Linked DNA regions of Mus musculus: regions 2, 3 and 4 are each reported to be linked to region 1. Evidence: microRNA targets listed by miRTarBase, many of them from high-throughput screens and not tested one by one. Region 1 holds a microRNA gene; each other region holds the end of a gene's coding sequence.

Region 1 (7,162 bases):
GTTTAAATTTTCTCATATTGGATGTAGCTCTGGTATGGCCGGTACCTGGTGTGGACAAAGCCCTGAGTTTGATCAAAGTTGGGGAGGAGGGGAGAACCCATGATCTTTATCTTGTTTTTTTGTTTGTTTGTTTTGTTTTTCGAGACAGGGTTTCTCTGTGTAGCCCTGGCTGTCCTGGAACTCACTCTGTAGACCAGGCTGGCCTCAAACTCAGAAATCTACCTGCCTCTGCCTCTCAAGTGCTGGGATTAAAGGTGTGCACCACCATGCCCTGCCCATGATCTCTTATGTAGAAATTTTGTCAGTTAAGGAATTCCACTATGAAAATATTGACTATCTATTGCCTTGTTAGAAAAGGATGAGATTTCAGTAATGAAGAGTGCTTCTGCTTGGGTTCTGCCCTCAGGGAATATTTAAATTTGGTCATTTATCTTGAAGAACTGTTACTAAGGACTGAGTTACTTTAATTGTTGTTTTATGTCACTTAGTGAGAGAGTCTATAAAATGATTTTTAAAGGTACTTCACATTTAAGAAGTAATCCAGAAAATAGCTATGGTTTTACAACTTTGTTATTACCTTTACAGGGTGTTTGTTTGTTTTCCTCTACAAAACAAACAAACAAACAAAATCAACTTAGTTTATAAATAAGAGGGGAGGGGTGAGAGAGTTGTGGTGTTTTTCTGCAAACACCATGGCCAGCAGTGTCATGTCAAACTCTGTGAGTCTGACCCGGTGGTTTATTTAAGGTATATTTTATATAGTACAGTTTGGAAAATGTTTCCTTGTATAACTCCATGTGCCGGTAGGGCATGGTTACCTTGAAACTCTTTTCAAAGTATGTGTCACTTCTTCATGGTAGGTATAGAATCCATCATGGAGTCTGTATAGACTACATGCATTATCTTCAGGGTCTTGGAGAAGATCTCCAGGCTCTGGATGTGGTCTCAGTCATACAGATAGTGCAAAGGTCACTACACTATTAACCATCTCCAGTTCTGTTTTTAAGGGATGGAGACAGGTGTGGCCTGGCCCTACAAATAGCACAGAGGTCACCGGGCTTTTAACAACATCCATTCTCAGCCTTCTGGGCAGAGAATAGGTTAGACATCTTTTCCTCTGAAGAGACAGCTCCGCGTGTTTAACATTCCTGGTTTCCCTGGTGCTTATATGTGAGCACCAGGGCTCTGTGCCCTCTACAGTAAACTAAAAATAGCCAATATGTCTTACGTTGTACCTTGAGATAGTTTGAATAGGTATAAGTGTTTGAATGCTTACCTATAGGGAGTGGCACTTTTTGGAGGTGTGGCCTAGTTAGAGTTGGTATGGCCTTGTTGGATGAATTGTGTCACTGTGAGGACAGGCTATGATGTCTCCTATGCTCAAGTTACACCCAGTGTGACATACAGTCTCCTTCTGCTGCCTGTGGATCAAGATGTAGAACTTTTGGCGTCTGTCTGCACACTGCCATGCTTCCGGCCTTGATCATAATGAACTAAACCTCTGAAACTGTAAGCCAGCCCCAAGTAAATGTTGTCCAAGTAAAAGTTGCCTTGGTCATAGTGTCTTTCACAGCAATAAAAACCAAACTAAGACATGCTTAAAATGTCAGGTAGGTGGTTAAACTTAGTGGGTTAGAGGAATATTTATACATTTATCTGGACCAAGAATTATGAACCAAATTTATGATTCAGAGCTTGTAAAATAACATATGATAGACCTTCGGGTTATCTTAGGAATAGTCAATGCTACAGCAAGTATTAAATGTGAGTGTCAGAGCTCTCTTGTACTAATGACATCCAGCACCAGCCTTGGTCCTTCCACACTCATTCTCTGCACAGATCAGAAGTAACTACAATTACTGAGGGACTGTGTCAGACCCCTAGGTATTAGGACAGAAGACAACTTAGCCTCATCCCACAGCCCCAAGAGCATACACTGGACGGCTGCTTTGATTTCTAATGGAAAAGCTTTCCTTTGATTTGTGGGATAAGTTGATGTCTCATTTCTCTCTTCAGGTATATATATGTATTACCTGAAAGCCCAGGGCAGTTGTTGCCTTGGGTCATGCAGAGAATATGCAGCCACACCCATGCCTTAGATGTGTGTAATTCAAGTGGAGAAGACACAAGCCAGTGGTCGCAATATCAACACTTGAGTGTTCTGTAAACGGTGAGTGTGAGAGGTGGGAGTCAGCCAGTGCGTCTCAGAGGTGATTTAGAGCCATCAGGAGGACAGGAGGAGCTGCGCTGTAGGTGTTAGGGATCTCCTAGTTGATGGCTTATACAGTGTACATGGTAATAAGACAGTACGGAGTCTTACACTTTTCCCAGTGTGCCGGCCTTGTTTTCACTTCCTGTTTCGCTCTTGCTGCTTCTCTCCCCTTAGATTAATGTTTGCCATGTGCAAGGAAATGGCAGAGGCAAAATGCTGGCGGCTTATGGAAAAATAATTTATAAAAAAATGATGGGTTAGTTCTGCCAAATTTGAGTAAGTGAGAACACGAGAAACCATATTCTGTTAGAGCTTGAGAAAAGGAAGGAAAGTCAAACGGTGAGTCTAACCTCATTTATTCCAGGATTGGTGTCAGCAGAAAACCAACAGTGATGTGGTGGCACACAGTGAACTGACAGGACCCAGGCAGCAGCGGTTCTTTTGGTGGCAATGGTGCCATGTCATGGGTACTCTCCTTGCTGATGGCAGATACCGACAGGCAAACTGTTGCCTTGCGTTTAGCTCTGTTAACCATTGACAGTAAGGTAAGCATGTCTTCAGCGTTCATGGCTCTTAAAGATCTTGTCTGTAACACAAGGGTTTAAGACTGGGGTCTCATTTTGTTGTCCTGACTTAGACTTGGCAGTCCTCCTGCTTCAGCCTGCTAAGTGCCAAGATTACAGGGTTGAGCCAGCATGCCTAACTTCTAGTTTAGTTTCTTCAGACAGGGTCTCATGCAGCACAGGCTGGCTTTAGACTTGCTATTGAGCATAGGATTACCTTGAACCCTTGATCTTCCTGACTCTACCTTCTAAGTTCTGGGATTCCAGGCATGCTCAGTTAAAACAATAGGTGGATTTAGTCATATTCTTCTGGAGACTAAGACAATAGAGTCCTTGAAGTCAAGCTGACTCTGCCTTTAGCCTCCTACATGAAAAGGTAGATAGAACAGGTCTTGTTTGCAAAATAAATTCAAGACCTACTTATCTACCAACAGCCATTGCCTACGTCCCACAGTCTTCCTACAAGAAGTGGGTGCAGTGAACTCCTAGATGAGGAAGGCTGGGAAAGCCAGAGTGGACACAGTCTCTACTAGTGATAGAAAGGTGCTTGGAGGTCAGACAGGCGGGTTAGAAAGTTGAGAACTTGTTTCCTATAATGCAGGTTTGAGGAATCCAAAAAGTGTATTGTCACTTACACAATTCTGCATCACAATGAATTGTAGGTGGGTCACGTAGGGCAGTAGTTGTACCAGATGTGAGGGTGAGACGCTGAGACGCCCAGCTGCCCATAAACTGGTTCTGTTTGTACTAAAGGGCAAGTACACGCTTCAGAAATATTTTATTTCATGTGCACAAGTGATTACCATCATTTGAAAAGGCAGGGAGCTGATATGTGTGTGTGTGTGTATGTGTGTGTGTGTGTGTGATGAAGAGTGAAGAGGGGGCTTATGTGCCGTGGCACACATGAAGTTCAAAGACAACTCTCCTTCCATGGTGTCGGATTTGGGGATTGAACTCAGGTCCTCAGGTTTGGTAACAAGTACCCTTACCAGCCCCAGGAGCCAGCCATTAAACATACCAATTTTTTGCCATTTATAGTGGCTCATGCATGTAATCTCAGCATTTGAGAAGCTGAAGCAGGAGGCTTGCCACAAGTGTAAGGTCATCTTGGGCTACCTGGTGAGACACTGTCTCAAAAAACCCAAACCAAATAGCCACCACCACCAACAAAGTCCAAAACAAAAAAAGTAATTCTGTGAATGAAAGCTATTTAGTTTACCAGAAGCCAATGCTGTTTTATAGCCCATGTTCCTAACTACTTGTTCCTTCTCTCTGCTACTTGTTATGTTCTGGGTAGTGTGGCTTTTAAATGCTTGCAGTTTCCACCCACGTCCTGTGAAGGCTTTACAGACTCTCTCCCCTTTGCTAGGGTGTGGAGCCAACACCCGTGCGCTCACTCAGTCAAGAGTTAACGCGGTGGGGCAGGTAAAGCGGGAGAAGAGCGGATGTTGATGGAGTTTGGTTTATCTGCTTAGTATCAGGGTCGTGTGACAGTGGTCTCAGTGTTAAAGATACTTTTCTATGTTGAGCGTGGAGTTCAAGGCTAGCCTGGCCGAGTTATAGGCCCCCCAGGGCTACATAGTGAGACCCTATCTCAAACAAACATACAGATACTCACATATAAAAAAATGTTTTTAAATGTTTATCTGTTTTGTGTTTTAACAGATTTATCAGAGGTTGCAGCTGCACATGGCCATGAGGTAAACCTTGCCCCTGTTTGAAATTGAGTTTCATCAGCTTCTACATGGGATTATAAGGACTTGGAATATATCACAGACCCAGCAGGGTTTCCCCCCTCATTTTTTTTTTTTAAGATTTATTTTTCTTCCTAAAGATAACATGCTTAAACAAAGTTCTTTATGGTTAGTAACTGTGATGCTTGAAGTTGGTTATCCCTTACTCCAGTAAATTTTAAATGTCAAAGATATCTTGTTAAATAAAAAAAAAACTATCAAAATTTTTTGGGTATTATGTTTTAGTCATGTCCCCATATTTGTGTTATGTGCAAAGCAGTGCAGGAATCCCAGTAGACAACTCAAACTGCCCATGCCTGTGATCCACGTTTCCCATTTGGTGGTTTCTATTTCAGTAGTAGAGAACTTCTTTCACTAAATACACATGCATATTTCATTAACAGCTTCAGCCAGCTTGTGTTTACATCTGCAGTGCCTTATGTCAGGGTAAGAAGAAGTTGTGTGTGTGTGTGTGTGTGTGTGTGTGTGTGTGTGTGTGTGTGTGTGTGTGAGAAAGAGAGACAGAGAGACACAGACAGACAGACAAGCTCTGTGGGCAAGTGATAAATCAGGAATCTGAGCTGCTGCTTGCACTAGTAGAGTCCAGAAGGAGACGAGAGTTGTTACTGCATCAGAATTAGGGTGGGCTAGAAAACAAAATTCTAAAGAGAAGAGTGTCTCCCTGGGCAGTGAGTAGGACACACCTGCGTTGGCGGCATCAGGGGACTTGGTACTCAACAGTGTCCTGGTTTTTCTCAAGTGAAGTTATTACTCTGCAGCTGGAGTGCTAAGCTTTGACAGTGACTTGAGTTGGGGATTGGAAATGTGAACAGGGGAGCCAGCAATGGAGCTGGTGGAGACAGGCACCATGGTCCTTAGCTGAAGACAGTGAGGCAGGGCACCCAAGAGCTGCTGGCTACAGTGCGTTCCTCTCCCTAGGGCCCAGCTTTGACTTCGGTGAGCTGATGATTGCCTTGAAACATCATAAATATACAGTATGTCACTCATTACTTGGCACTTAGGTTTAGATGAAGCATCACATCCTTATGAGACAAATACAGTCTTTCCTTTGTTTGATGGGGAGCACTGGTCTGTAGGTTTTAGGCAAGTAGATACAAAATAGCAGTTGGACCCAGTCCTTGGCTTCAAATCCACTGCTTTTTCACTTCTTGATGGTTCCTTGATGAATCCTAGCTAATGCTCTTTCTCTTATCTCCATCTATCTGAGCCCCTTCCTCGGGACTCCATTCACCCCAATCACAAGTAGATTGTGTGTGTGGGCATGGCAGTAACTCTCCAGTGAGCCACAGGTAGCTTCTGTTCTTCACACTGCCTCCCTTAAGATTTTTCTCCTCCCTGCCATCTTTCCCACCAAGAGCAACATGAAGCCAAGAGCAGTGGAGCGTGAAGAAGGTGCTTCTTTAGGCAGCATGTATTGGCATGCAGCTGACGGCATGTTAGCCCCCAAAGTCAAGTTATAAACAAGGCACACAGTCTCTGCCTTTAGGCATCTTGGACGTAATTTCAGAGTTAGAGTGGAGTTAGAACCACCATGAAGCAGAAGACAGCGTGTTTCAACAGTGTGCATTTTGCCGTGCTGCTGCCAGCTTTTGTTAGGAAACACTGGGCTAGATAGATGGTTGTCTTAGTCACTCTTCTATTGCTGTCACAACACTAACACTGTTTTCAAGTCCAAAGTTTCTTCTGCGATACATGGTAATCTCTTAACTGTATCACCCATAAGATCAAAATAAAAAAAGAGATCACATCCTTCCAACATACAGTGGCACAGAATAGATGCTAGTTACCATTCCATCAGGAAGGAAAAGGAGAATAGTGAGGAAATACTGGACCAAAGCAAGACCTAAATCTAACAAGGCTAACTCCAGTCCTGCATCTCCATGTCTACTGTCCAACTCCTTTCAGCTTTGTTGACTGCAGTGCGCTCTCTCTCTCTCTTTCTCTCTCTCTCTCTCTCTCTCTCTCTCTCTCTCTCTCTCTCTCTCTCTCTCTCTCTCTCTCTCTCTCTCTCATGTGTTCCATACCCTCTTAGCAGCTGTCCTTGGCAGGTGTCCCATGTGTCTGGTATCTCCAACACCATGAGGTTTCCAATCAGGTATCACCTTTACAATTATTTCATATCCTTTTTGGGCCTCCACACAGGGACACTCCTGACACACCTGGACTAAGTGGCTGTCTTTAACTGTGAAGGAAGATTCCACAACCTCTTGTCTTATATTCTTAACTCTAAAGCCAGAAAGAACCACATGGCTGAAGCTGCCAAGTTCTGCTTGCTGGGGCTGGAACTTGACCCCCTCTCTCAGTTACAGTCTGCACTAGCTTCCTGTTGATGGCTTCCTTTACTGCTCAAGCTTTCCTTTGATTCCTTTCACAGGTTGGAAGCTTAGGGGGGTGTGGTGTTGCCCTGAGGTCACAATTCCTTTATTCCAGTTAGCACCTGGCTTTTCTTTAACCTTGTCCCCTTGAGCCCAGTACTTGGCTCTAACAAATCATTTCCTGGTCTTCCTTTTCTACTCAAACTTTACATTTTGTACTGTTCCTGTTCCCCTTACTCCTTTTCACTATAGATATGAATAAGAGTAGTCACTCGTAGCCTTATAGCAGGGTCAATACCAGGCTGTCTTGAAATCTCC
Region 2 (7,162 bases), not on the chromosome of region 1:
AGATGTAGCCGGCCCTGAAGCTTTGCTATAAGAGTTGTCACACAGAGACTTTCCCCCAGAGTTCTACTATGTTTAAATGTGTGGAAAAATTAAAACATAGGATCAGAGTCCAGAAGTCTTGATCCAATCTGACCAAGTCTGGCTATACCAAGTTTTCATTCTTATCTATCCTGGGTCCACTTTTCCTGCCAGTGGCAATACCTGCAGAAACGCCTCAACAGATGTTGGCATTTTTAGAAGAGTTTTGCCCATTAGTATTGCTCTTTCATAGTTGAGAACTGCTGACATACTATCAATGTAGTAGAATATAAAACTTGAAAACACAGACATTGAAGGAATCATTGGTATTTTTGCTTTATGCTCTCTGGCAGGATTGTTCTGTAAGCAGACGAATAAATAGCTGTGTCCCTCACAAAGCTGGAATGAACCAAAGTGAAAAGGACGGTTCCCAGGCAGCATCTGTCAGTATGTCAGAGTGCTAGTGCTTCCTTCTAAACAGGATGACCAAGTCATTCCAGTTCATCTTTTCCATCATCCTACCTGCCTAGAACTCATGTGTAACTGTGATATAGCTACCTTCCCAGGTATATTGGCAGGTGTGTGTGTGTGTGTGTGATCTCAGAACACACAGGTAATGTGATGTGACCTATGACAACTGGTAATGGTGGATTCATTTACATTGTTTACACTTCTATGACCAGGCCTTAGGGGAAGGTCAGTTTTTTAAAAACCAAGTAGTGTCTTCCTACCTGTCCCCAAGTACAAGGTAAAACAGAAGGCTGTTGGCTTCAGCTTTCTTTTTTTTTTTTGCTCAGTAATACAGTCAAGCAGGAGTTTGTTTGCAAATGAAAGCTGTGTAAGCATTTTTGTTTATTTCAAATAAAATATATTTGTATTATAAAAAAAAAGAAACCCAAAAAACAAAAAAAATCCTCCAAAACCAAAAGATCAACCAAACCAACCAGACAAAAAAAAAAACCCCAAACAAAACACAAACAAACAAAAACCCTTCAAAGCAACGAGGTAACCCAACACAATGAAGAATAAATAAAAAGGTAAGATGTATTAAATTAACACCCACAAACAAGCCCAGGCCTGTGACTTTAAGGGAAAGTACTTTTGTTTTCTTTAAAAAAATTTTTTTTTCAATACATGGTTTCTCTGTGTAGCCCTGGCTGTCCTGGAATTCGTTCTGTAGACCCGGCTGGCCTTGAACTCACAGAAATCCACCTGCCTCTGCCTCCTCTGAGTGTTGAGATGAACAGCATGTGCCACCACCACCCAGCTATGGGGTAGTTTTAGAACAAAGAAGCAAACATCCTGGAAAATGAAGATAATCTTGAAATGAGTTTTCTCACAGAAACACTATGAATAGAATTCTGGAAGGAATTAGTTATGTCATAACTCCATCTTATAGTGTTAAGATAGTATGAGTATGGTCATGTGGCTGAGAAATGTCTCTTAAATGTTCATCAATTTGCACACTTGCTTCCCAGTGGGTGGCACTATTTAAGGAGGTTCTGGAACCTTTAGGAAGTGGAACCTCTCTGGAGGGAAGTCACCTGGGGGGTGGCTTTGAGGACTTTTATAGCCTTCTATCGTCTCTCTGCTTCCTGGTTGTGGATGTTAAAGTTAAAATAAATTCTTTCTCCCTTATATTGCTTTGGGTCAAGGTATTTTATCACAGTAATGAAAAGGTAACTGATACAATGAGTCGCAAGAGGTAAACTGAGCTCTGCAGTCATATATCTGGTTGGATTTTCAACATGAGGACAGATGAGATGCTCAGAGACTGAGGGTTTTGTGTGTGTGTGTGTGTGTACTGGCTAGTTTTGTGTCAACTTGACACAGCTGGAGTTATCACAGAGACAGGAGCTTCAGTTGAGGAAGTGCCTCCATGAGATACAACTGTAAGGCATTTTCTCAATTAGTGATCAAGGGGGAAAGGCCCCTTGTGGGTGGTGCCATCTCTGGGCTGGTAGTCTTGGGTTCTATAAGAGAGCAGGCTGAGTAAGCCAGGGGAGGCAAGCTAGTAAGGAACATCCCTCCATGGCCTCTGCATCAGCTCCTGCTCCCTGCCCTGCTTGAGTTCCAGTCCTGACTTCCTTTGGTGATGAACAGCAGCATGGAAGTGTAAGCCGAATAAACCCTTTCCTCCCCAACTTGCTTCTTGGTCATGATGTTTGTGCAGGAATAGAAACCCTGACTAAGGCAAATTGGTACCAGCGGAGTGGGGTATTCCTGTGACAACCTGACCATGTTTTGGGGAGGACTGAGGAAGGACTTTGGAACTTTGGGCTTGAAGATCCATCCGTTGTTAAGAGCTCTGTCGGATGTTGTGTAGGAGCTTGGAAGATAATGTTGAGAACACTGCAGAAGATGAAGGTCTGGTTTGTGAAATTTCAGAGGGAAAAATTAAAGACTCTTTTCAGGGCCATTGCTGTTTTGATTGTGAAGATTCTGTAGTTCTGGTTAGCTGGGGCTGAAGAATCAGCTGTGATTAACAAGATACCAGAACTAATAAAGCAAAAACTTTGCATTACTGGGACTATTGATGCTGGCTAGCTGGAGCTAAGAAATTAGCGGTGATTAAGAAGAGACCAGCATCATTGAGGTGACATCTTTTGGGAAGTGTTTTCTGAAAGCACAAAGAGGCTGTGTTCCAGAGATGGCCAAGGTTGTACTCCTGCTGCAGCGGGACTTGGTAATGTGTAAGGGTCACCCAGGTGGTACTGGTTTTGAAGGCATGAAGGGGTCACGCAGAGCAGCTGAGGCTCAGCACTGTGAGAGGCCATGGAAGGCCATTGGTGAAAGTGCAGCCTCAGTTGCAGTTGAAGGCCCAGGACTGAAGGGGTCATGCAGTGTTTTGGAGATGCCAGTACCATGAGATGACCACCAAGAGCAGCAGCAGCAGTGGAGTACAGGCATCTGGAGCCTAGAGGACTACGCGTGTGCTACAAGGGGCATGGCTAGAGAAGTGACCCAAGCCCTTGGAGGAGCCCAGAAGATCGTGAGTTGGATCCCAGACACTGGACGGTTGGATATTGATTTTTGCTTTGATTGTGACTGTGCCCTGATATTTTCCCTCTTGAAGGAAGAAACTGTTTTAGTGAAGCCCACAGTTAAGAGACTTTTAATTGTAAAACGAGTTTGGATTTTAAAAGAGATGGATATTTTAAAGAGATTGAAAATTTAAGAATATGTAAAGACTGTGGGACTTTTAAAGTTATTTAGATCTTGGGGATGAACAAGAATGTAAGGGTTGAGGCTTACTAGTGATGTGTTTGTGTGTCAAGTTGACAAGGGGTCAATTGTACTGGCTAGTTTTGTGTCAACTTGACACAGCTGGAGTTATCACAGAGAAAGGAGCTTCAGTTGAGGAAATGCTTCCATGAGATCCAACTGTAAGGCATTTTCTCAATTAGTGATCAAGGGGGAAAGGCCCCTTGTGGGTGGTGCCATCTCTGGGCTGGTAGTCTTGGGTTCTATAAGAGAGCAGGCTGAGTAAGCCAGGTGAGGCAAGCTAGTAAGGAACATCCCTCCATGGCCTCTGCATCAGCTCCTGCTCCCTGCCCTGCTTGAGTTCCAGTCCTGACTTCCTTTGGTGATGAACAGCAGCATGGAAGTGTAAGCCGAATAAACCCTTTCCTCTCCAACTTGCTTCTTGGTCATGATGTTTGTGCAGGAATAGAAACCCTGACTAAGGCAGTGTGTGAGATTTTAGGTAAGTGATAATTCTCAACATCCACAGTCAACTACATTCAGCCAAGCCAAATAGAAATAATATCGTCATAGACACATTATAATCAAACTATGTGACACGAAAACCCAACAAATATTTGAAGTAAAATGAAGGCAGATGTGGCTTTTACAGATTTTACACACCTGTAATCCTGGGACTTGGGAGGCTGAAGCAGGAGGGTGGGGACTTCCGGACCAGCCTGGACTACACAGAACTTGTCACAAAACAAAAGCAGGCCACGAATAAAACACTTCAAACCCTTAAAACTAAGATGTACAATACCCCCACATATAAAATAGTGATATTTTGATTGGTTGGTTACACAACCATTTAGATAAAAAGATGGTGAAACACTGGATTAATAAATTTAAAGTAGTCAAATATTATGCTAGAGAAACTACATTTAGGATCAAGGGCTGAGGGGAGAGATGGGGAAGAGACGCCTCACCCTCCACAATGGTGGCTAGAAACCTCAAGTCAGTCCAAGGGACATGCTAACAAGATGGATGAAGTTTCAGACAGAAACAAATGAAAAGGGAGAAGAAAGTGCTAGAAGCTGAAAGGGAAGCCTGCAGGGAAAGGCCCTGGCCACAGGTGGAATTAAGAAGACTGGCATTAAAAACTAGTTTTTATTTATTTATTTTTGGTGTGAATACTGATGACCCTCCATTCAGTCTGCTTTCATTTAAGTTTCTGGATGCCCAGCCAGTATTTTTTTTTTTTTCCAAATTCTTCCACCAGTATCTGGAATGTAGCATTGTGTTGGAGTCCACTGTACATTTAAGAATTATACAGTGGTTTATTGTCTATTTATTTCCACTTGGCCATTCCTATTTCACGTTTAAATAAAATGAGTACGGAATGAAACATTTTCAAGCATAAAATCCTAAGAGTTTTTGGACTATAGAACCAAGGCAGGACAGACATAATGGAGATAATTGTTAAATAAATAAATATACATATACATATACATATATATATATACACACACACACACACACACACACACACACACACACACACACATACATATAACTGTTAAAGCCTATCTCTGGGGCTGGTGGGATGGGATCATCAGGCAGAAGTACTCACTCTACAAGCCTGACAATTGGAAGCCTGATAACTGATCTCCTGAGTCCACGGTAGAGGGAGAGAACTGACTCCCAAGTTGTCCTGTGATTTTTCACAGGTGTGTTGTGGCAGACACTCGATGACACGCATGGTCCTGGGCTCACACACAAATCACACACACTCAGTCAAATACACATCAATGATAAATTAAACAATAAAAAAAAGTTGTATGTAAGAGCTACACTCTGGCCAATAACCTTAGCTTCTAGGGTGGCTCCTGTGGAGGACTTCATTTTCAAGGTGGGTCTGGGCTACAGAATGAGTTTAAAGCTAACCCAAGCAGCTTAGTGAGACCCTGTCTCAAAATAAAGAGTAAGTAAGGAGAGAGCTAGGGATGTACATGTATTTGAGCGCTTGCCCAGTATGTGTGAGATCCTAGGTTAAATCTGTATTAATGCAAAAAGAAATTAAAAGCAGATTAGTAGTAGCAAGATAAAAATTGAGGTTAGCCTGAGAACAAAGAGGGAATTTGGTAAAATAGGTTGACAAAACTGAACAGCTAAAAGCTGAACAGCTATGATTTTTGACTCACCTTTACCAGGGACATTTATTTTATTTTTATAAAACAAGATAAATATGACCATTGCATACAAAACATTACAAATTAGGTTTATAAGAGCAAAAATTGGTTCAGAATTTAAAACAAAACAATAACGTGGAATAATAGTAATGTAAACATTTTCCACCAGTTTAGGTGAAATCTTGAAGCGAATGTACTATAAAAAGAAACCCAAGCCTGGCAGAGTGGCGCAAGACTTCGATCCCAGCACTTGGGAGGCAGAGGCAGGTAGATCTCTGCGAGTTCAAGACCAGCCTCTATTACATAGTTCTAAGAAAGCCACAGATTTCTAATGAGATCCTGACTAATCACAAACTAAACAAAGATTAAAAAACAAAGAAAACAAATGCATATCCCAGCGCATGCTGAAAACAGCCGGCAAACTTCACCATGAATCACACTTACAATGAAGGAACTGAAATGGGAGACTATTCCAAGGAGCTTTGGAGATGGCTTTGAACCCTGTACATGCAAGTGAGGTAACCATTATAGCACATGATGGTGTTGGGTAGTTTTCTAGGAGAGTAGCCCGGAACAACAGAGAGGTAGATAAGTCGTGTCCAAATCCTCAAAAATTCACGGGAAAACACTAAAGGCCACCAAGAACTTAAGACACCTACTAATTTCTTTGTTAGAGAAGAAACAGGTGTTGGGGATTTTACCACTTGAATTTCTAGGAACTTTTAGGGCCTCGGGAAGAGTCCTTTGGGTCAGCAAGGCTTTAATTCTAACATCATGGGGCCTAAGTGCCTTGCAACTAGGGGTAGAGAAGCCCCTCAAAGATTTGTGCAGGGCAGTTCATTCATAGACCAGTCGCTTCCGGGCCCTGCGAGGAGCCCGGGGAGAGCATGGAGGGCATGGCGGAAGCTGCTCTTGGGGATTCCGGGAAGGAGATGGAGGCAGAGGCTGCAGTGGTGAGCCAGGGAAGGGTCCCAGCATGTTGATGTCCAGTTCCCAGATGAACCTAGGAGAATATTGCTCTGCTCCAGTGGAAGGCCCTGGGACTTGGTCCTGAGACAAAGGACTGGGCACCCCTGGGATGGAGGAAAAGTTCCCATTGGCCTGATCATCTGGAGGGCTAGCCCAGTGCTCCAGAAATTCCAAGTCTGCATCCTCATCACAGACATCCTCTTGGTAGAAGTACTCACAGAAAGTTTCCTCCTGGAGACCGACTAGATGATCCTGGGGCCCGTCCTGGGCAGCGGCTCCCTGCGGGCTGATGGCCACGAATCCAGGCTGTCCAAAATGGGTGGAGTCTTGGAGCCCCTCGGGGACCAGGAGGATGGTGTGTCCTTGGAGCGACACTTGCAGTACCGAGGTGGGCTCTGGCTCCAGCAGCAGGTCGACGCCGTCCAGGGGCAACTGCAGGGCAGAGCCGGCGGCCAGGAACACCACGGAGGTGGTGGGCTCGGCGGGCGCTTCCAACTCGGGCTGAGCCAGGGGCTCTGGGCACGCGGGCTCCTGGTGGAGGCGGCGGCGCTTGGCAGGGCTGGGTGCTGGTGTCTGCGGTGACCAGCAGGGCGCGGGGTCGGCGCTGGGGCTGCGGGGCCTGGTGCGCAGCATGATGGACGGCTCTGTGGGGCTGGAGAGGCGCGGGTGCGGGGTGCAGAGCGGGCAGGTGCGACGGCGCGGGCGGAGCGGCTACAGTCTCGTGCTCTGCAGCTCTGCGCTTGGCCTAGTGGATATTGCGTACGCAAGGTGGGTCACTTACTAGATGCCAATCAATTTTC
Region 3 (7,162 bases), not on the chromosome of region 1:
AAGGCTAGCCTTGAACTGCCTGATGACTGCCTATCTACTTAACTTCATTTTTTTTTTTTAGTATGTATGCCCAGGTACACTGACCCCTGGGTGCACATATGAAGGTCAGATTAGTGTTGGATATCCTTTATCTTGTTTTCTTGAGACTCCCTGAACCTAGAGCTGAAGATGCCCCTGTCATCACTCCTACCTCTAGGTCACAGGTACATTCCACTATGTCCAGCTTTACCTATGGCTGGTGGTAGGGCTTATGCAGAAATTACTTCACCTTTTCAACTTCTTAGTGCTTTTGAAAATGTCAGATAGGGTGCCAGCAAAAAATGGCTCAGTAGTAAAGGCCCTGGCTGCCAAACATGGTGACTTAGAATCTGGTGTCCAGGACCTTTATGTTAGAGAAAATGACTCCTAAAATTTGAAAAGCACACCGTGGCAATGCATTCCCACACACACAAGTATTGTCGTTTGGATGTGATTGAGTTGGATGTGATGGTTTGTGCCGATTGTCTCTGCACTTGGGAAACTGAGACCAGAATGATTGCCTGAAGTTCAGAGGCTGCCTTATCAGCATATCAAAGCTACCTGCCCAGTCACATATAGTTGGGAATAAAAAATTTGAGTAATTGTTTGTACAGAATATTTCTAAAAAGGGTTTTGTCTGTAATAAAACACTGTTAGCACTGGAATGCCATATGGGATAGACATTTGTGCTAGTGCTGGGGTTTTCCCCTCATGGAGAAAAATTTGCTGGGCATAGTATGACACAAACCTATAATTTCAGCATTGGGAGGCAGAGGCAGAAGTACTGGCTTGTTATTTACATAGGGAATCCTGTTTCAAACATAAAATAATCTGTCTTTCTCTCAATATGAACAAGACCTAATTTCCATATGCTGTATATCTGTGTGTATAGATGTTTCGATCTCTGAGGAAGGATAATAATTTATCTGGAGCCCAAAATATTCATTTTAAAAAAAAACAAAAAAACAACAGGCCATTTGGTGGTCTTCTGCTGTGATCAGTGAACTCGTTTTCAGTTGAGCTTATTAAAATGGCAGGAAGTATTATTCCACTGTAGTGTATACTGCTTCCTTGGATGGTCTTGAATTTTCTTAACTTTCAGCTGATAGAACTTATTCAGTGGTGAGTCAGCACAGGTATGACTGAATTTTGTTAGAAATGAATTTTTTGTTGTTAAATTTTAAACATTGGTCAGTAATACTATTGAAGTCAAATCTACTCTGCTGTTTACTTTATTTTGAAATTGTGCCTCTTCCACAGCCCAAAGTGGTCACAGATACAGATGAGACTGAACTTGCAAGGCAGCTGGAACGGCTGGAGAGAGAAAATGCAGAAGTGGATGGAGATGATGATGCAGAAGAAATGGAAGCCAAAGCTGAAGATTAACGTTTTGGCAAACAGTCCAATTTAAGGAGTACGAAGCAGCCCTTCCTGGCTGTCAACCCTAGACTTGAGAGTTTTCCAGTATTGAAAACTTCAAAGCTGAATATTTTTATTTCCAAGTATTTAAGTATTCAACAAGCCAGAATCTAAATGCCCTCCTTCATGTCAGCTGTTTCCACATAGTGGCTCTAACACCTCAAGCATTTTTCAAGGGAGTGGCTTGATTTGACCAGAGACAAATCTTAAACAGCAGTCCTAATATTGGGCCTACAGTTTCCATTTCTCATGTCTCTGGAATGGCACCCTTATGGTTCAGAGATTTACCAGGGACTCCAAACACAAACAATCCCAATCTTTCTATATAAAATGTATTCAAGCAAACATCAAATAAATTTCTGGGATATTTAATTGTAGGCTTCTTCCTTCTTGTCACAAGTTAAAGCCAATCTGAATGCTCAGATCCTAATTATCTTCATATGGTAGAACTCAATGGGCAAGTAACTAAATGACTTATGCAGGAACAGACTCTCCAAAGGAATGTTAGAGAAGAAATTAGGAATTTGACCCCTGGTAGAGAAAAACCTTGAAATCAATTAAAGATTTATGTGCCTGTTAACTTACTTGAAAGCAGTGATAACTTGTGTGAGAAGTCATCACACTCAGTCCCTTTGGTTTATTCTAAGCTACTTACCTTGAATTCATAATTCAAGGGGTATTTTAATGTGCTGCTGCTTTGATGGAGTTATTTTGAGCAGCATCACCCATCTGAAGGGGACAGTTTCCTCTATCTGGTAGGTGCTACCTAATTCTTGAGTTGTGTGTATGTGTGTGTGTGTGTGTATATATACATACATGGTTTTATATATATATAAACCACACATGATGTGATTTAACAAAATTTTTAATCCCATTTTTACCTTCTCAAACTAGCTACTTTAAAGGTTAATGTGCAAAATAATTTTTTCAAATAACACAAAGTTACAGCTACAATATCACATGTAGAAAGTCTTCATTTAGTTTGGCATGCTTATCTTAGGATATGTATACTATTTATTATCTGTAAGCAAACTTGAAACTAAGTCAGTCCAGGACTAGACATCATGGGAAGAGTTCTAGAGTTGGGTACAGAAGCACATGCTGATGGCTCCAGTACTTGGAAAGTTGAGGAGGGAAAATTCCTTGAGCCAAGAGTTGCTGATCAGCCTGGACAACCACTGCAAGACTCTGTATCAAAAGGATTGGAAATTAGAATGTTGAGAGATGTTTTATGCCATTTATGAAAGTTCTTTTGTTTAATCTACTGGTCTAACCTTGTGTGACCCATTTCCGAGGAGCCATGCTTGCTAGTCTGCATACCATGTTGCTAGTATTTAGGGACTCTGAATGTACTCCAGATTGGCTGACTACAGCAGTGGTTCTCAACCTTCCTAATGCTGGGACCTGTCGATACAGGTCTTCACATTGAGGTGACCCCCCAACCATAAAGTTATTTTTGTTACCACTTCATAACTTTAATTTTGCTACTATTATGAATCATAATATAAATATCTGGTTTTTGATGGTCTAGAACAACCACTGGTCATGCATCAAGAAGCAAGTTTAGGGCCAGGTATGGTAGTGCATGCCTTTAGTCCCATCATAGACAGTGGCAGTTGGATCTCTGAGTTCAAGGCATAGCTGGTCTATATATACCAAGTTACAGGTCACCTAAGACTGCATAGTGAGACTGTCTCAATTTTTTTTTCAAGTTTATAAAAGAACATGAAGGTGTTACCAAAGCTGCAATAGTAACTGTAATCTCAGATAATTCAGAGACAGAATACACATATTTTAAGGATTTAGAAATATAGCTAAGTTGGCCTGGTGCATAGCTAGCAAGTCAAGGCCCTGGGATCAATCCCCATTACCACAGAAGAAAAAATGTATTATCAAGTATAGCAAGCGCCCTTTTCCTAGGGATTGTTTACTGAAAAGTTTTATATTTAAGAGAACAATTTAGTCAGGTTGGTGGCATATATCTTTAATTCCAGTACTTGGGAGGCTAGCCTAGTTTTCAAAGCAAGTTCCAGCGCTGTTACACAGAGAAACCCTGTCTCCAAAAAAAAATTTAAGCCAGCCAGCCATGGTAGTGCACACCTTAAATCAGAGCAGTCTCAAGACTGGGTCTACAAAGCAAGTTCCAAATCAGCCAGGCTACACAGAGAAACACTGTCTCAAAGAATTAGAAATAGCTTATGGCTCCGTGATAGATTTTAATCTATCTGAGCTTTGTTGCTAGGTTCTACAGTTGTGTAAAATGCTGACTAGCCTGGGAGATCAATACTGCAGTGATCCTGTGATGAAAAGAACAAACTAAGACACATTAGGCCAGGCAGACTCACCCAGCTGTGAGACTGAACAGTGTAAACAACACACAGAACTTACATATCTTGGTTCTCCCACCAAAGCCTTCTCATTAAAAATGCTAATAGTTCTGTTTTCCTTCTGCCATCGATTACAGTCATATGGTCCTTAATTTATACAACAAAATAAATAGACTTCATGACTCCTAACAATGATTTGAAACTAACTAAAACGAAACATTGAAACTGCTTTTTTTAATTAGTTTTATAACCAAACATAGCCAATTTTCATGAATATGTTCCAAGTTTTGGGGGGTTTATTTTGTTTGGTTGATTGGGGTTGTGTGTGGGGGGGGGTATTTCAAGATGTTCAGGTTCTTAACTGGAGCTCTAGAGATGTGCTGATCTTTGGGCCACTACTTAGCTATTGTACACCAGCCCATTTGTGTCCTGGGCATTTTTTTTTTTTTTTTTTTACAACGAGAACAATTAAAATGAGTAGGCATGAAAAAAAGCTGGGTCTAGCTAGACCTTGCCAGCTCCACTGCTTTGTCTCAAGCCAGTGCTCATCTGTTTTAGAACCCTTGAGAATCCTCTCACCCATAGCTATGGGAAGCAGGAAGCTATCAAGCCAAATGTAGTTTAATTCCGATAAGCACCTGTCAACATTCTAAAAGTAACTCTAGGTACATTAAACCTGGAAAGATGCCAAATGAAAAAAACGGTGCTTGAAAAGGCAGTCTCTTACAAAGTAAGGAGTAAAGGGAGAAACAGACAAGTTCTTGGGATTCCAAACACGGGGTCAGATATTCCAGACGTTAAGAGGAAATCTATTTTAAGAGAAGTTTTTACTTAGACACTTTAGAAATATCCACTCCCCTTAAATGTAAGTCATGTATTTTATCTATTAAAGTCCAAGCCATTGTCCTTGGCAAGAATCCTGGCCATCACTGCCAGATCACTGTATACATTTAATAAAAAATATTTATAAAAACACTGTATGATACAGACTTGTCACTTTAACCCCCAACTGGGGATGAGCTAATGTTCATTTTTAGACCAAAGTTTTATACCTTGAGTTAACTTTTGTCATTTGTATCCTTGTCGTTTGGAGAGCTGAGGCTCCACATCTTTCTAAATGTCCATTTTATATAAAAAAAAAAAAAAAAGCTGTATTTCTGCCTTTTAAAAAATATCTGCGACAGATTTCAAGAGTATGACATCTGCAACTTGTGATACCTACTGTCTTACAGTACAAGACAAACAGTATCCTCTGAACAGACATCTGTTTGTCAGCATCCCCACTTTAAAGTGAGAAACATCATCCTGGTGACAGATCACCAGAGATTCCTCCACAACCAGCTTCCGTAATACATAGGGCCTCACAGGTTAGAAACCTGTGGGAACCAGAGAACTAACTACAAGAACCATAACAGTCAGGGACAGATGTCATTCTTTATTAATCCCAGAGATACTGAGTTGTTGAAATCAGTTGAGAGAGAGTCTTGAGACTAGAGTATTTAATACAGAAAACCGGAGTTAGTGTTCCAACAGAGAAAGAGGTACTACTATTGTCCCCAAAGACAGATTTCTGTCCTGAAGAGCAAAGTCAAGATGCTGCCCACCTAACAGCTGGTCCATCTTTTAAAGTTGGTCATAGGAAGGCAGAAGGAAATCATCGCATCCCCGCTGTCATCTGAGGAGCCACTTTGGGCAGTCTTACTCCAAAGCCATGCAACATTTATAATGATAAGGTTTTTTTGTTGTTGTTTTGTTTTTTTAACAGTACCAAGAATTGAACTCAGGATGGCCAGGCAAGTCCTCCACCACTGAGCCACATCCCCAGCCCAGTATCTTGTACTCCAGTTCTCCAGGAAGTCTTATCTGTATCCAATGATGAGAACCCTGGTCCCGCTCCTTTAGATCATGTTAGCTTCTTGATAGCTTCAATCCATTCTGCTCGCTCAGCCTTGCTGCTGGCCTGGATATAATAGTGTGTGTCATCCTTCGTAATCACTTTGAAGAGATTTCCTTGGACATTCCCTTTAACTCCTACACAGGGGAGAGGAAAAGTATTGAATATCCATGTCAACTTCCAGCTTGTATTTCCACTCCCTATAGCCATAAGGTCTGCCAGTGGTTATTCTAAAAGTTTGCAGCTTGCTTGCTTGCTCCTGTGCTACTCACAGACCTACAGTTTCACATCAAAGAATCTCCTAAATGTATGTTTTAAAGAAGCACATAATTTGATGTTTACTTTGGACTGGTTTTGAACTTCAGTTTCTATACCTACAAGTCAAAATGTTGCTACTTTCCTACCATAGCTGGGGATTGTAAAATCAGTACAAACAGAAAATGACGGCATTCTTTAACATGAAAACACCGTGTCCCTTAGCTGTAACTTAGATGGACGTTTACAGGCCATCAGCACAGAAACTGAGAGTAAAGAATATCAAAAGAAAGGATTGTTCTGTTGATTCTTGAAACAGCAAGAACATCCCATATAACCTTTTACTTAATTTTTTAAATGGGTGTCAAAAATGACATCATTGACTCACTGAGAAAAGTTCTGCTCAGGGTTTCCTTCCAAGGCCATCAATAACATGCAGATGGTGGCCCCAGGGATCTTTAAGCCAGAGCAGAAGTTGTAGCTTACCAGTAGGAACACCATTATCCTCCAGAGCAGACACAAGGGAACCACGAAGAGAAAACCCACCTACTGGCCTGTTCTCTTCCTGTGGAGGAAGAGACTAGTCAGTAATTTCATGAACACACACACACACAAAGACCCATCCTCCAATAACTGATCTGTAAGCCTTGTAGAGCCACTCCAAATTATCTATAATAAAGGAGGCTGAACTTGGGCATCTTGCCCAAGTAACTTAAACCAGTGAGGCAGTTTGGGCCTCTTCATGACCAGTAGCAGCAGTGCCATTAAGTTACCAACATTCTGTAGACTGATCCAACATTCTACCAGAAGCATGCACTGGCTTCCTTAACCTTTGTCCTGCACATTGGACGTTTGTTATGTAAGTCTTTAGTTATGTGCTTGGTATGAAACAAGATTGGGTTTATGGTATCTGGATGGTTAAAGAGCAACTTGACATACCAGGAGCCTCAGCCCTTGATCCCTTCTTTTAATAATCAATACTAAATGGTGGCTTCAGCAGACAAAAGCTAAAGCAGTTACTAACAATGCAGAGGTGTTGACTAAGATACCAGAGAAGGGAAACAACACAAAGAAGGGATCCAGCATGGTGGGAGTCTACAGCAGGCAGTCTCAACCAGAGACTGAATAGGCCTTGAGAAACAGATCCTGGGTACTGACATGGATTTAGCCCAGCAGTAGGAAGCACAAAGCAAAGAAAACATGAGAGTAGATGAATAGCAAAAGGCCCTGGACTCATCAAGGGCACAAA
Region 4 (7,000 bases), not on the chromosome of region 1:
ACTATACTGAAATTCCCATGTAATACAGAAAGTGACCTGCAGAGTACAAAAGTTGTCTAAAGATAAGAGTTTTACTAAGGCAAATTCTGAAGGAATTTATTGGCTCTCAGCTTCCTTCAGTGTGGGGGGCATGTTTCTATGTGTTTAATTATTACACCAGCCTAGGCAGCATGGGCGATGAGAAGTCTTGACTACACCTACTCAGTAAGAGAGGTTCCGGTTTCAGATCAACCTTTAGGAAGAACCCCTTCACCTTGCAGGCTGCAACGATGCTCCATTAGAGCGCTCCTGTAGCTTCATTTCTTACACTTGCCTCTACTGTCTCTACTGTTGCCCCCATCCCACACCTTTTGAGACCTGACCTTACTTTAGACCAGGCTGTCCTGGAACTCAGTTGAGTAGTGAATGTAAGCTCACTGCAATTCTTTATTAAGTTCCTGAGTACCGCAATTACAAATGTGAGTTACCATGTCATCCCTAACTACATTTTAAGAGCTAAAACGTTTTAAAAGCTTAGCTTCTAAATTCTAAACTTTGATCCTTGGACTACTTATAATTTATACGTGTATCTTTCCTTAGGAATATTCATCCTGAGCAAATCTGCAATGCTGAAGAGGATGAGGACTCAGCTCTCGAGCATCTTCATCTTGAAAACAATTATATTAGAACTAGAGAGATATCATCCTATGCATTTTCATGCATAAGACTGTATTCAAGTATTGTTCTTAAACCACAACACATCAAGTGATTTCAAGCTTCCTTCTGCCATTATTGTTTTTTGTTTGTTTGTTTTCTGAGACAGGGTTTCTCTGTGTAGCTCTGGCTGTCCTGGAACTCACTTTGTAGACCAGACTGGCCTCGAACTCAGAAATCCACCTGTTTTTGCCTCCCAAGTGCTAGGATTAAAGGCGTGCGCCACCACCGCCCGGCACCTTCTGCCATTTATAAATTTTACTGAAGCATTAACAAAATTACGTCTCTTTTATTGTGTGTGTGTGTTTCTGTATGTGTTTGTGCACATGAGTTCTGTGCTCTCAGTAACCAGAAGAAGGTGTTGGTTGCCCTGGAGCTGGAGTTACAAGTGGTTCTGAGCCAGTTGATAAGTGTGCTGTAAAATGAACTTGGGTATGTGGTAAGAGCAGTACATGTTCTTAACTGCTTGATCCATGTCTCCAGTCTCCAAAACACCATTCTAATGCTAATTTCTTGGTTTAAATAATTTTACAGTGGTTACATATACACACTGGTAATGGTAAGGAAAGCTAGCAGAAGGGCATACAAAAATTCTACACTATAAGTCTAGAATTAGTTTTCAAAGTTAAAATAAAGCCATTTCAAGACTGCTTTCATTCTGCAGCAAGATAAAAAAATTAGAAAAAGTAAACTGAGCATGGTGGCACATGCCTTTAACCCCAGCGCTGTGAGACAGAGGCCAAAGGATCTCAGTGAGTATGAGGCCAGCCGGGTCTATATAGTGAGATCCAGGACAGCCTGAACTATGTAAAGACCCTATCTCAAAAAAAGACTACAAAATGTAAGCACTCTTCTAAAAATACAAATTACTGTTAATTATAAGCTGACATAAATGTAAATACAACTCATTCCTACACTAGTTATATAGTTAGCAACCATCTCTTTTGCCAGTTACTAAAATATACTTTTTATCAGTTTAATGAACAAAGTAGCACTCATTACACACTGACTTGTAATGATTTCTTTTAATGTAAACCTGATCGATCGATCGATCGATCGATCTATCTATCTATCTATCTATCTATCTATCTACCTACCTACCTACCTACCTACCTACCTACCTACCTGTCTGTCTATGATCTAGCTATTAAGAGAGACTCTTACTGTATAGCTCTGGCTGGCCTGGCACTTAACCAGGTGCAAGGATTAAAGGCATGTGCAATCTTTGATCTCTGTATTTATACAAAATTTTATATAATATATATAGAAACTCTGTTGATTTCTTTTATTAACTCTTAAATTATTGTTCTGAAGAAATACTAGTGTCATGACTTAAGCTCTAGCTTTGGGATCTACCTTAGTTTCTTTTCCTGTTACTGTGATAAAAATACCTCAATAAAAGCTAACTCAAAGAAGAAAGGGTTTATTTTGTTGCAAAGATTAGGAGTACAGTCCATCATGAGGCAAGGAAGTCAAGGGAACAGGAGAATGAAACAGCTGGTCCCATTGTGTTTAAAATCAGGAATTACAGGCAAAGACTGCTTGTGCTCAGGTCAAAGGGAACTCGGGCTCAGTGAGATGAGCCAATGGAATTATTTAATACAACAGTGGAAGCTATTAAATAATTTACTTTGTATCCACACACTCTCTTTTCAAATGGGGTCTCACTCTGTAGCTCAGGCTGCCTTGGAACTCACAATGGTCCTTCTGAATTTCTGCTTCCCAAGGTCAGGATTACAGGTATGCAACACCTGTCACCCTTACGGTGACTTTCTTCAGCTGCATTATGATGCCACTTCAGAGAGCAAATATCAAACATAACTGAGAAGTTGTCTCCTTTCCTGTAGGAATGTAAGCAGAAAATCAAGGACCAGGCAAGAGCTGTCAATCAGCTAATCAGGGTGATGAAAAGAACATACCAGCCCAGGCTTCCCTGGTCAGGGCCTGAGAGTGCTCTGGAATATGGGCCACAGTCAGCAGCCTGCACAGAAAAGATGGCATATGCAGCAGCAGATACAGATAACCCAACTGTGGTAAGGTGCAGAATCCCCTATAAAGCTAAAAATCAGAATGACAGTTAGAACTTTGCCCTGAATTTGGAAGATTCATTTATTTCAACTGGTTTTATACTTTTGTGAACATTTCCAGCATGGAACCTGTTCAGTCTTGAAATTTCATCATGTTCTGAATGGGATGCTTTAATTACATAGAAATAGTGATAAATGTCCTTACAGCAAACCCTCCTCTTGATAACAAACAGATGTTCAGTCTGGTCTCGTAAATCTGCTGTAATCACTAGCACATATGTGAACTAAGGAAGTCTTAGAATAAGAATGGTCAAGAAAACATTAATGTCATATCTTGACATTCCACATATGTACAAAGAATGCTATCTGTATTTTTAATTTTGAGATTTGGATTATTGTACATGACTATTTAAAAAACACTAAGATCTGATTTAGTGGGAAACATATATAGCTTGGTGCTGTAAAGAAATAAATATATCAGAAACCAGAGAAAGACCTAAAATATTATGGTTTGAATAGATCAGAGGATCAGATCACACAAGGCTCATGGGGGATCTAGGTCACTGATAAGGAAGTAAACAGTGGCCATTTGCAAGAGAATAGGCTGAACCGCTTGTAGTACAAGCAAGAGATGGGAGGAGAGTAAAGTCAGGAAGTCATAGGGTAGGTGGATGAATGTATGGGTGAGGACACATGCTTTCAGTTAGCCTACCCTCATCTCAAGGCACAGGTGAAGAAGCCAAGTTCACAATTGTCTCTATGACGTAAGCCTCTGTCTTTCCAAAGCTAGCTTCCAAGCACAGGAAGAACGGTACCTAACCTCTGACTCTTTGGGAAGCTCCCTTCAGCTTCATGCTTATGTTAACATAACAACTCAGGTCAGATCTGGGTTTATTAACTATGTCTAATTGACTACCTGGTATTTCTAGTGAGGTATGATGTCTTTATGTATGGGAGTGCTGCATGAGAACTAGGTGGAGAGGTATATTGTGCTTTTCAAAAAACTAAAATTCAGGAGAAAATTAAGAATTCATCTTGAACCCTTGCGTGCTGTACATATCAGGCAATAAAAACAGGCATTGACTAAACAAAGAATTTTGTCTTCCTGGTTCCTTCCCAGTGCAAAATGGATCAATTCATTGGTTATCCAAAGTTAATACAAATACTAACCCTCTCCAAAAAAACTCCCCCAAACCCAACCAAACAACAAAAACAAAACAGAAAGGAATCTGAAGAAAAAGTAAGCATTTTCAAAAGAAATATGAGATATTAAATAGAAAAAAGGTCACAGAGTCATAAATTTAATCAGAAATAAATTTTCTTACTACTCTTTCCTAACCGTGTATTTTTAATTTTGTGTAGATGTGTGGGAATGTGCACATGTGTGTAGGTGCCCACAGAGGCCAGAGCATCAAATTCTTCTAGAACTGGGTTATAGGTTGTTGTGAGCTGCTCCATGTGGGTGCTGAGAACTTAACTGTGCCCTCTCAACAGCACACAACGTAACTGCTAAGGTAGTGTTCTAGCCCAGATTGTGTTCTTTAAACAATTAAATCATGTTTTGACAACTGGAAATACTTAGTATTCACTATGGTTGCTCTGCATCACGGTCCTTCCAAAGCCATCATTTAAACATAGCATGAATTACTATGTTTCTAAGCTGATGATTTAATGAAATACTCAAATTCTGCAGTTTAAGGGAAATCTCAAAGGGCGGTGTAAATAAAACCCTATATGGTATCAGCTCTATCTTTTCCTCTTACTTAGGGGAAGAGTAAAATTTTCCTCAGAGAAGAATTTATAAACTGACATGACTGAACTAATTCTTTGTTTATGGTTGCATATCAGCTCAGATCACTGATTGATTCTAAAAACTTTAAAAATATTAAAAGAACTCATTACAAGAAATGTCATCTCTAATCTAATGCCAGAAAATCATAAGCTGCCCCTAAGCATTAGATTCTGTTAAACACTGTAACTTCGGTACTTAAAAAACAAACTTTGAATACCCAAGATAAAATTTGCAAAACACATGAAACTCAAGAAAAATGAAGACCAAGGTGTGGATACTTCGTCCCTCCTTAGAATGGGGAACAAAATACCCATGGAAGGAGTTACAGAGACAAAGTTTGGAGCTGAGATGGAAGGAAGGACCATGCAGAGACTGCCCCATCCGGGGATCCATACCATAATCAACCATCTAAGGTAGACACTATTGCATATGCCAGCAAGATTTTGCTGGCATGACCCTGATATAGCTGTCTCTTGTGAGGCTATGCCAGTGCCTGGCAAATACAGAAGTGGATTTGGATGGAACACAGGGCCCCCAATGGAGGAGCTAGAGAAAGTACCCAAGGAGCTGAAGGGGTCTGTAACCCTATAGGAGGAACAGCAATATGAACTAACCAGTACCCCCTGAGCTCGTGTCTCTAGCTGCATATGTAACAGAAGATGGCCTAATTGCCATAATTGGGAGGAGAGACCCTTGGTCTTGCAAAGATAATATGCCCCAATACAGGGGAATGCCAGGGCCAGAAGGCGGGAGTGGGTGGGTTGGGGAGCAGGGCAGGGGGAGGGTATAGGGGACTTTCGGGATAGCATTTGAATTGTAAATGAAGAAAATACCTAATAAAAATTGTTCAAGTAAAAAAAATATTAAAAAAAAACCCAAAAAACAAAAATGAACTTGGGAACTGGGAACTGAAATTTGAGTACTACAAAAGAACACACATGATATGCACTCACTGATAAGTGGATATAGGCCCAAAAGCTTGGAATACCCAAGATATAATTCACAGACCACATGAAGCTCAAGAAGAAAGAAGACCAAAGTGTGGGTGCTTCGATCCTTCTTAGAAGGGGTAACAAAATACTCACGGGAGCAATACGGAGACAAAGTGTGGTGCAGAGACTGAAGAGAAAGGCCATCAGAGACTGCCCTACCTGGGGATCCATCCCATATACAGTCACCAAATGCAGATACTATTGTGGATGCCAAGAAGTACACGCTAACAGGAGCCTGAAATAGCTGTCTCCTGAGAGGCTCTGCCAGAGCCTGACATATACAGAGGCAGATGCTCACAGACAACCATTGAACTGATCATGGGGTCCCCAATGGAGGAGTTAAGAGTAAGGCCTGAAGGAGCTAAAGGGGTTTGCAACCCCATAGGAAGAACAACAATATCAACCAACCAGAGCTCCCAGGGTCTAAACCACCAAACAAAGAGTATACATGGAGGGACCCAGGGCTCCAGCTGCATATGTAGCAGAGGATGGCCTTGTTGGGCATCAATGGAAAAAGAGGGCCTTGGTCTTGTAAAGGCTTGATGCCCCAGTGTAGGGGGATTTAAAGGAAGGGAGGTGAGAGTGGGTGGGTGGGAGCACACCCTTATAGAAGAAGGGGGTGGGGGGAATGGGATAGGGAGTTTCTGGGGGGAGGGGAAATCAGGGAAGGGGATAACATTTGAAATGTAAATAAATAAAATATCCAATAAAAAAGAAACGTAAAAAATAAATTAATTAAATTAATTAAAAAACAAGGAAGTGCTGAGTCTAAGGCTGAGTTGTCAAAGTGCGTTATCAATGTCTTTATCCAGAGACTTCAGCAAACAGGGACACTGGGAATTAAATGAATTGCTAGTTGCCAGGCCTTTTGAAGGGTAGATATTGCTATCTAAAGTAGCATTTCATTAGATAAACAGTGAAGGAAAGAACAGGCCAAGGACACTAGGGCAGTACTCAGCACAGTGCTTTGTACTGGGCCAGAGAGTAAACTCCCAAGGCTTCTTGGCTGGCCAGGAAGGCTTGAATAGGGAACCTAGCCATGCCAGCAGCTATGCCATGCCAAACCATGGCTCTCCTGAAGAGCAGGTGGGGAATCAACAACAAAACTCAAGTGTGACCAACCATCTTTTCAGTGTGGCATAGCATGTTTGTGTTCACTACTAAGGACTGTGAACTATGGTGTAGAACATCTCTGCTCTGGACTTCAGGCTAAAAGAGCATATTAAGTATAGTCATTAAATTCAGAGTCTAAAGTACTTCTCATCCTAGATTTGAAACAAACAAACAAACAGCTCAGAGGTGAAGACCAATTATTGCTCTTGCAAAGGACCCCAACTTAGTTCTCAGCTCACAACCATCTAGAACTTTAGTTCTGGGAAATACAATGCTCTCTTCTGATTTCTGTGGGCACTGTATGTGGTGCACTTACACACATACATGCAGGCAAAACACTCATGCACACACATACAAAATAAATCTAAAAAAAATTTTAAGAA

What was found. The annotated mature microRNA mmu-miR-1839-5p reads AAGGUAGAUAGAACAGGUCUUG and lies in region 1 at 3,149-3,170, shown strand. An mRNA with a match to its seed (bases 2 to 7 or 8) in the 3' UTR can be bound and repressed. Matches are read on the target gene's strand: a 7mer-m8 pairs with bases 2 to 8, a 7mer-A1 pairs with bases 2 to 7 and ends in A, and an 8mer does both.
Region 2: miRTarBase lists Prr23a3 as a target of mmu-miR-1839-5p. Seed matches in the 3' UTR shown: 7mer-m8 at 5,976-5,982 and 7mer-m8 at 5,659-5,665.
Region 3: the mRNA of Eif2s1 is a reported target of mmu-miR-1839-5p. Seed matches in the 3' UTR shown: 7mer-A1 at 2,200-2,206.
Region 4: the mRNA of Ecm2 is a reported target of mmu-miR-1839-5p. Seed matches in the 3' UTR shown: 8mer at 1,782-1,789, 7mer-A1 at 1,787-1,793, 7mer-A1 at 1,791-1,797, 7mer-A1 at 1,795-1,801, 7mer-A1 at 1,799-1,805, 7mer-A1 at 1,803-1,809 and 3 more.

Annotation. Positions count from the first base shown.
Region 1 is chr7:81,526,771-81,533,932 of GRCm38, forward strand. It overlaps Mir1839 (microRNA 1839), which reads left to right and starts at 3,146; the gene lies at 3,146-3,218. It overlaps 2900076A07Rik (RIKEN cDNA 2900076A07 gene), which reads left to right. Exons shown (of 4, transcript NR_160675.1): 2 at 2,017-2,170; 3 at 2,577-2,757; 4 at 4,441-4,728.
Region 2 is chr9:98,864,828-98,871,989 of GRCm38, reverse strand. Prr23a3 (proline rich 23A, member 3) reads right to left here. Exons shown (of 1, transcript NM_028033.1): 1 at 5,410-7,162. The coding sequence starts at 6,995. The coding sequence ends at 6,231. It also overlaps the pseudogene Gm5920. Among named protein-coding and RNA genes, the nearest start is that of Prr23a3, 3.6 kb to the right of the region's middle.
Region 3 is chr12:78,883,513-78,890,674 of GRCm38, forward strand. Eif2s1 (eukaryotic translation initiation factor 2, subunit 1 alpha) reads left to right here. Exons shown (of 8, transcript NM_026114.3): 8 at 1,279-3,498. The coding sequence ends at 1,404. Plek2 (pleckstrin 2) reads right to left here. Exons shown (of 9, transcript NM_013738.3): 8 at 6,400-6,478; 9 at 5,185-5,795. The coding sequence ends at 5,668. Among named protein-coding and RNA genes, the nearest start is that of Plek2, 20 kb to the right of the region's middle.
Region 4 is chr13:49,530,684-49,537,683 of GRCm38, forward strand. It overlaps Ecm2 (extracellular matrix protein 2, female organ and adipocyte specific), which reads left to right. Exons shown (of 10, transcript NM_001012324.3): 10 at 580-2,106. The coding sequence ends at 748. The region is part of intron 5 of Cenpp (centromere protein P); the gene reads right to left. Among named protein-coding and RNA genes, the nearest start is that of Aspn, 10 kb to the right of the region's middle.